2 linked regions of the Neurospora crassa OR74A genome follow. The protein of the gene in region 1 interacts with the protein of each later gene in a biochemical or structural test. Links are inferred from orthologs where the notes say so. Each region holds a gene or a part of one and is shown on either strand. Other genes may lie near its edges.

Region 1 (4,404 bases):
GAGACCGGAGCCGGGGTGCCTATTCACATAACGGAAGTTGGAAAGTGAAGAAAGATGACCAGGAAAGGCTGTGCCACGGGTTCTTTGCGTGAAAAAGCTGAAGCATAGAAGAGTTTGAGAATACGAGAGGGTGAAGAAGGCCGATAACGGATGAGATGATCGGATTGCCATGTGGATATTGAGCCCGAAAGGTGCGTATTACATTGCAAGGACCGCCCTGATCCGACCTTGACCAGCTCTGGAGCTTTCTTCTAGTCAACGAAGCGTGTGTACTTACCTCGGCATGTTATCGAAGATAACTCGAACAGGAAGGTCTCCTAGTGTCTCAACTCCAAGATAACGCTTGAGAGACCTATTCAAGTCTGCAATCATGCCGAAATTTGCTGCCACGCCAACAAAGTTCTGTTAGGGTTCGGCCCATCACAGCTCTTAACCATCCCAGTCCATCATGAAACTGCAAATCATCTTTCAGTCGATAGGCCAGTGATGCCCATATCGTTCATCCTTGAGACCACATGCCCGAAAATACAAACACGTGTTCATTAACCATATACATCATCTAGTTCCTCGCATAAGTGAACAAACCCCACCCTCCCCTTTACATGCTCATTTGGTTGTAAGAATTGATGAGCTCGTTAAGCTTGTTTCCTTCCATCTTGTAGTCAAGGGGCGCCACGCTCATGACCTGGTATCGAATCCTGCAACAAGCAATGTGTCAGCAACGTCCATCTAATCGTGAGAATAACCCCCGATACGTACCTCTGCTGTTCACCAAATGTGTCCATCTTCGCCCTGCACCTAAAGTTCAGCTTGCGGCAGTTGGCCTGCTCAAACTCGGCGGGCAACCGCGTCTCGTCGGTCTCTCGAATCTCCATAAGTTCATCGGCCGACTTGCCCATGATGACCCGCGCCGTATCGTCGAAGCAGCTAAGCCAAAGTTGACCTGTGTGGTCGTTGACGTTGACGCTCATAATGTAACGGTACTGAGGTCTATCGTGGTTGATCTGGCACTTCTCGCAGCGCCAGGTACCATCACCCATATCTGTGACCTTCCTGTTACAGCCTTCGCTTCGGCACCCAGGGTAGGCAAAGTTATCCTGCTTGATGAATACAACCGTTGCCTTGAGAGCGAAGTAATCCGGCGCCTCGTTTGTGCCAAGGTTCTCTTCCTTTACTTGTGAGATGGTCTTGGCGTCGTCCTTGCGACCGGTCGCACCACCCAAGGTCTGCATGTTGTTGTGGGTGGCGAAGGTGTTGTTCCTGCCGCTGCTATCATACCAGCCCTTGAGATGATGGGCCTCTGGAATATCCGGATCGATGGCCATGGTGCCAGACGAAAGCAGGGACAAGCTGCGTCCACCGAAATCGCTGACCTTTGTGCCCTTGAAGGCCACAATGGATTCAGGCTGAGCATCAAAGTTCGTGGCCGTCTTACCCCAGATGGTACAACGTACCGAGTACCCAGTGTTGTCAACAAGGGTCAGCTCGCGCTTGTCGTACGGCTTCTGTGTGGTCTTGGATACAATCTGGGTCACCTCTTGGACCTCCTTGAGGACACCAATAATATCGACAGTCGCATCCCTCTCAACATCCTGAAGCTCCTGGATGTTGACAAAGTTGAAGCGTACCTGTGGTACAGATGTCTGGTCTTCGGCCTTTTCGATCACGGTATCCCGCTCAAAGGTGAGCTCGTAGTCATTGGGGAGATTCGACCATTGCTTCTTGGCAAGCTGTACCCTGCAAGGTGTAGAAATGTAGTAAACCTGACCCTCCTGTAGCAAATCATAGAACTGGTCGACTTGGTCGTTGAATCCTGTTGCTCTAATTTCGCCACTCTCGTCAAGAAAGTTGACGCTGAAGAGCTTGCCCTCGCCGCTAGCCTTGTGCCAGGTCTTGATATCGGACTTGGAGGTGACTCTGGCCTTGATGGTCCATTTGTGCGAGAAGGGCGAGAGACCTTCAATAGGATATATCGTGCTTGATCCCTGACCCCCGCTGGCATTACGCGAGGGCATCTGGCGTGGAAACTGTGGTTTCGTGTCTTGGGTAGGTTCGCTCTTGACGCCATAGAAGCCGGTGCTGCCGAGATTGGGGTTCTGCTGTGGTTCTGCACTGCGGGGGCCAAGAGGCTGTGGATCGCCCATCTTTTCGGGACAGCCAAGGGACTGGATAACTTCGAGATCGAGGACAATCAAGATGCTGGATTTAAACAGTCAGTGTTATGGATTTCCCGAATTGGCGGAGGGGTAGATAGGCGTACTTTTTGCCCTTGAGACATTGAGCTTGATACTGCTTCAAGCGCACGATGCAGCCGCGTTGCAGGAGGCCATCGTGAACAAGATGGTTTGTTTGCGTGGCCATCATACATTGGACATAGTTCTTGAGGTCGCTCAGCACAATGCGGAACCTCTCCGTGGCGCCCGCGCCCCCATTCTTGGAGTCGAGGGTCTTGATCTGGAGACATTGAAGGATGGGGACAGGGAACTGTTGTTGTGCGCGATCGGGATCATTGAACATGGCGCTATAGCAAGAAGTCAGAGTCTGTCATACTACTGGATGGAAGCACACGTGAAGAAACCTACTCCAGAGCGCCCTGTGTGATTTGACCCGCCATGTTGGTTGGGTAGTGTTGGCGTCAAGCCCGTGGAGACGTTCTCGATGTTGTTTTTGAGGTTGATTTATGCGTGAGTCGTGTTCGAAGATGCAAGGATTGGGGCGCAGAAGTCAAGAAAGATCCGACAAGATACGGATGGATCGAGTGTGTTGGACTGATGATGATGGTGGTCTGGAGGGGAAATTTCACACAAACAATGGACTGCAGCAGCGACGCGTTTGGCAGCGCGTCGAGGAGGGGCAAGAGTTTAATTGCTAGGCATCCACGGTCCGTGCGGAGGGCCCCAGTTTGTATAGCGCGTGTAGTTTGCGTTTGCCGGGGAGTGTTGCTGCCAAGCGCTTCTGACAAGCATGGCAGTTGCCCGCCAACCCCATATCTCCACATCAAACCCCACCCGAGAGCTCAACTTCAGCAAGTTCCAGGGGCTCAACTTCCCTCTTGGCCTCGTTCACTTCTTAAGCTTTTGGAACATGTCATGATTTCTCTGTCAGGTCTTGCAGATAGAACCCTTTTTGCTAATATATTCGCACAATCATGTGATGACTGTACATAACAAGGGTATCTTTCTTCCGGTGCTGTAGGAAGACGAAAGGGAAAAGGACCTTGGGTTCCTCAAGGAAATGGAAACCGAAGACGGGAGGTAACCATTCTTGATCAGGAACCCTATCTTTGAATCTTTCGGTGTGAATTGTCCCGTCTTGGGCCTGCCCTTTGCATGCCGAACGTACCCCACCTCGTCGTGGTTCCTGGCTGTCTGTGTCGATCCCATCTCCCACCCCCTCCTGACCATCGAGGTACTCTCCTCGTACTGTAGCGCGTGCCTGCCTATGCTAAAACGAATACAAAATATAAGAAGGAGAAGGCTCGATTGGAAGTTCCCCCGTTGCCTCAGTTACATCCCATCCATACCTCTACTTTTGTGTGTTCAGCGTTGGTCTGCCTGCAGGACGGTACACCGCTTCGACGTCCTGACCTTCCTACTTCCTGTCATCTCTGACTTTGCTTGCTTCGCTTGTCTCCTTCTCTTTCTCTATCACTGGATACCTTACTTTCTTGCCAAACATATCCGTCGCTTTACCAAACTCGAGCTCGATAACGGCCTGATCAAAATGGCATCATCTCCCGCCGTTTCCGTTCCCATCATCGACACCCATGTGCACCTCTATCCCCAGTCCGAGGTAGAATCCCACCAGTGGTACGCTGAAGACAATCCTCTCGCCAAGCAGCACTCCATCCAGGAATACCAGACCGCCACCGGTGCGCCTGGCAATCTTCAGGGCTACGTCGCAATTGAGGTCGACCGCAAGAACGACAATGCTAAGGATTGGACTTACCCCCTACAAGAGATCGCATGGCTTCGCCGCATCGTAACCGGCCAACCGAAGCCTGGCGAGGGCCACACGGCTGACGATGGCCGTGATTGTCTCGGAATTGTGCCGTGGGCGCCGGTTGTATTGGGCTCTGCCGAGTTGGAAAAGTATCTCGCAGCTGCGGAAAAGGAAGCCGGGCCTGAAACATGGGCCAAGGTGAAGGGTTTCCGCTACTTGCTGCAAGATAAGCCCAACGGAACAGCCCTAAGTGACGATTTTATCGAGGGCCTGAAGCTGCTTGGCAGAAAGAAGTTCGTCTTTGACCTGGGTGTTGACCAGCACAAAAGAGGGAGAATCCAACTGGAGGAGGCGGTAGAAATGATCGACCGTGCACACGAAGGTGTGGACGAGGAGGACAAAGTGGTATTTATCCTGAGTAAGTTTTTACCTTGACACATTCTGCATGATTTGCTTGCTAAC
Region 2 (3,792 bases), on another chromosome or scaffold:
TGGTCCGCGAGCCCAATGCCTCTGGCATGACTCCCAGTAGCACCCGCAAGGATCCTGTTGCTGAAGGCTCTAACGTTGGCACGCTCTTCGCTGCTGCTGCTGCTCCTTTGACGACGACGACGACGACCACTAGCAATACTCTTTTGGGATCTACTAGGGCCAAGTTTCCTACTGTCGGCTCCCACCATCATCATGGCCTTCTTGCACATGGGCATTACCATGTTGGTCTTGGAGTTGGCGGTAAGAAGTTGATGTAAGTTGGTGGTGATATACGTAGTAGTGTTTTTATGGAGGATGACGCAGACACGACTTAGATTGGACACTCGTGTTTTTATTCACGTTTGACCTCGGACCATGAGTCTCACTATTGGGTCTCTGACTTGTGTTTACCGGTTGCAAGGGTGGGATATGTTGATATCCGGTTTCATTTTATACTCGAGATGTAATAGCTGTCAATTGCACGCCTTCATGATACACACTCGTTTCATAGCTCAGCCGTCCGGCCTACTAGAATGTTAGCTCTACGATGCAACAAGTCATCAGACGCCCTTCTCTACCTCAAAATTGACTCGGGTATATTCTCTTCATCTTAACAGACGCAGAATCGCAAAACCAAACATGAAAACTAAAAAAAAGAAACCATCCATTCCGGTCCATTCTTGTGAAACGTTAAGCCTTGAGGCGCCGTTCGTTTCCTCGTCCAGATAGGTGGACCGAAAAAAAGAAAAAAAAGAAAAGAAAAAACATGATCCTCTTCAACACTTTTTCCTGAGCCTTTCTCATCCCTTCCTCCTCCGGTGGTATTTCAAGCATGGCTTGCCAGTACCGCTTGCTCTGCCTCCCCCATTCCCAACCACACACGTTAAACTCACCTAAAGCCGAGCTCTCTGAACTAATAATCCAGAATGGCCCACGTCTCATCATCCTGCGTAGTGTAAATAATACCCTGCCCCAGCAACTCATCCGCCGCATTTGTGATATCTCTAACCGACATTCTTGTGCCCTGCGCAATCACATGCAAATTGACACCCTCCGTCCCGCCAGGCGAGTTATTGATGAAATTGCACATGATCTGCGCGTTCCTTGAGCACGTCGCCAATCTCGCCTGCATCGCACTGTTTCCTCCACCGGGGCCAGCGCCGCCCATAGCAACATCGCCGCCTCCTGCTCCGTATCCCTGATCCACAAACATGTTGTCCCCTCCGCCACCTTCTTGTTTGGCACCACCACCACTACCAGGAGCTCCCTTGGTAAAGAACAGATGCACATACGTCGCCTCAAGCAGGTGGTAGTTGACCTCGTTGAAATCCTCAATCTGGCGTATGAAGTTGGCGCTTACGTGTTTCTTGCCGCCGAGAGACTTGAGACGGCCCCACACGCGCACGAAGGCGTCGGGCGCGATCGTGCCGGCACCGCTGCCACCGTCCTCGCCGCCTTGCGCTTCCGAATCGACCCACTTCTTGACGTCGATGGCTCCCGTGCCGTCATCAATCCGGTACGTGATGTTAGTCGGTTGCGGCTTGACCGAGCGCACTTGGCCCACAATGGTCACTTGGGTTACTGGGTGGCCGTCGATGGCAAGCTCGGCGCCGGGGAAGGTCTCTTCCCAATCGAGAAGCTGTTTTATGGTTACGGGGCGGAGGGACTCGTCGGCGTACTGTTGTTGGACGAGAGACAGGTTGTCAGTACCTGATTTGGGTGCTGAGGCGAAGGAAGGAAGGGGTAAAGGTAAACTGGGATAACAGAGGACTTACCTTGGAGCCACCGGCTTGACTACCACCTTGTTGGGATCCGGACATGAAGCCACCGCCATCGCCACCACCATATCCGCCGTAGCCCGCTGTCAAGGTCACACACAGTTAGCTGACTAGACATTTGCGGAGCCTAGGAGAAGAACTAAGGAACTCGGTAAAGAATTACTTACCCATGAGTCTAGTGTTACTGTCTCCTTGGCTATCTAATGAATAGATTCGATTAACTTTCCGTCTTCTCGCAAAAGATCCAGTCGTAGGCAATGAGTGTGATGGACGAGCTGGTGTCAAATGGTGGATTGCGGGGTGAAAGATTGATGCTGGGAGACGCGTTTAGACGCGCCTAGAGGCAGCAAGCACTAAAGGCGGACCCCACTGTCCCACTGCCAGGTGTTCTGCGTAAGAGACGGGAGCAGGCAGCACAATAAAGGAGGGTTAGGGTTCAACATCTGTGAATGACGTATACATAGTACAGTACCCGCCTCTCAGCTGCAAACCAACATCCCTTGCTTAAGGTTCAGCTGGGTTTTAGGGACTACTACTATGTATACACAGTGACATGAAGCTGCCACGCCATTAGAAAAGTACTGAGTGGTGTGGAGACTTGTTCTAGTGAGATGAATACCATATAGTCAACCTTCCTTCTGGTTAAACCCAATGTCTCGAACAGCAACATCCCAAAGCGCCACCCTCGTCACCGAAGACGAGGAAGAAAACGGGACTTACACCAATGACAGAGGGGTCACAAGATGCTCATGCTGTGTGAATCCTTCATCACTGCTTGAGCCCATCGATCTTTCCGATAGGCACGACACCAGTCTCCTCGATGAAAACGAAAACACCTTCTGTCTCTGGCCGCTTTTCGGTCCTATATTGTTCGAAAATGAGAGTAGCGACTGTAGAGATCATTGCGCGAACGAGAGAAGTACGTCCATGTCTTTTGGATCTGGTTCCGTTACATAGAACGACACCTAGAACACTGAAACTTGTTGACTGATGCTATTGCTAAACAGCGTTCCTATCGTTCCTTCGCTTGTCCATCTACATGGCTATCGTTTCCGTCGCCATAGTGCTCTCGTTCCACCTTCGCAAGGCAGCTAGCGACTTGGAGTTGCGGATGGCGAAGCCGTTGGGGATCATTTTCTGGGGGCTTTCTGTCTCTTGCCTTGGTGTAGGAGTGGCCAATTATATCCGTACGTCATGGTTGATTTGGAGTATCCTATCTCAACACCCGCTTTAAAGAATCCTCAAAACCCAACGCTGACATGAGCGGGCTGTTATGCACCAGAAACCGTGAACAAGTATAGCCGTAGGGCAGCAATTGTACAGACAGGTTGGAGAACACAAATTGTAAGCATACTGACTCTTCATCTTCCCACTTGTCATGACTAACCAATTGTATGCAATGCATAGATTATGGGGATTATTGCCCTTTCCATATTCGGGGCATGTATTACGCTTCTAGTTGTTAACAAGTATGGAGAGCAGGCTGATGAGTAGTGACTGAGGACGATATCATCCACGGAACTTGGTTTCGACATGTTGCGACAAATGTTAGATGTCAGTAGAGGCAAAAGATTGTCGACGATATGCATCGCACTTGTACTAGAACAGCGAATAAGTCAGTGCCTGGGACCATCGACATGCCATAGTGAAGATGATGTCAGCATCAACCCACAATATCCATAGACGCCATAATCTTACATCGCCATAACCACCCCCCCCCCCCCATTGCCCCTCTAACCTCGTCACCGGGTGCAAAACAAATTATCCACCCCTCCCTTCCGAACCCCTTTAGCCAAGATATTCTCTTCATCCTCCTCCCCCTCACCGTTCTCACCCAACTGACTCTTCCCCTTCTCCAACTTCCCACACCCCACCGCTCTCCTGAACTCATCCACATATTCCCCTGCCCCCCTATCCACCTCCGCTAAACTCGTCGCCCTTCCCTCCCAATCCAGTAACGGCATATCACCAAAGGGCACAAGATTGCCCCCGGCGGGTAAGCTGTCCAGTAGCGAACCGGGGGAGAGGCTGATTT

The links.
Region 2: the proteins of rpa-1 (region 1) and rpa-2 form a complex in vitro, tested with the Saccharomyces cerevisiae proteins (2 studies listed by BioGRID). The link is inferred for Neurospora crassa OR74A from reciprocal best matches to the Saccharomyces cerevisiae genes RFA1 and RFA2.

The regions. Positions count from the first base shown.
Region 1 is NC_026505.1:1,821,976-1,826,379, reverse strand, and holds rpa-1 (replication factor-A protein 1), read right to left. Parts: upstream 2,852-4,404; 5' UTR 2,615-2,851; coding exon 2,583-2,614; intron 2,522-2,582; coding exon 2,261-2,521; intron 2,200-2,260; coding exon 760-2,199; intron 699-759; coding exon 599-698; 3' UTR 172-598; downstream 1-171. Other genes in the region: NCU03605 (amidohydrolase), read left to right, coding at 3,442-4,360. UniProt on the Saccharomyces cerevisiae protein: As part of the replication protein A (RPA/RP-A), a single-stranded DNA-binding heterotrimeric complex, may play an essential role in DNA replication, recombination and repair.
Region 2 is NC_026504.1:2,100,530-2,104,321, forward strand, and holds rpa-2 (replication protein A-2), read right to left. Parts: upstream 2,057-3,792; 5' UTR 1,929-2,056; coding exon 1,925-1,928; intron 1,841-1,924; coding exon 1,755-1,840; intron 1,658-1,754; coding exon 893-1,657; 3' UTR 547-892; downstream 1-546. Other genes in the region: NCU07718 (hypothetical protein), read left to right, coding at 1-257; NCU07716 (hypothetical protein), read left to right, coding at 2,409-2,676, 2,765-2,944, 3,040-3,101, 3,165-3,251; NCU07715 (hypothetical protein), read right to left, coding at 3,500-3,792. UniProt on the Saccharomyces cerevisiae protein: Binds to single-stranded sequences participating in DNA replication in addition to those mediating transcriptional repression (URS1) and activation (CAR1). Stimulates the activity of a cognate strand exchange protein (SEP1).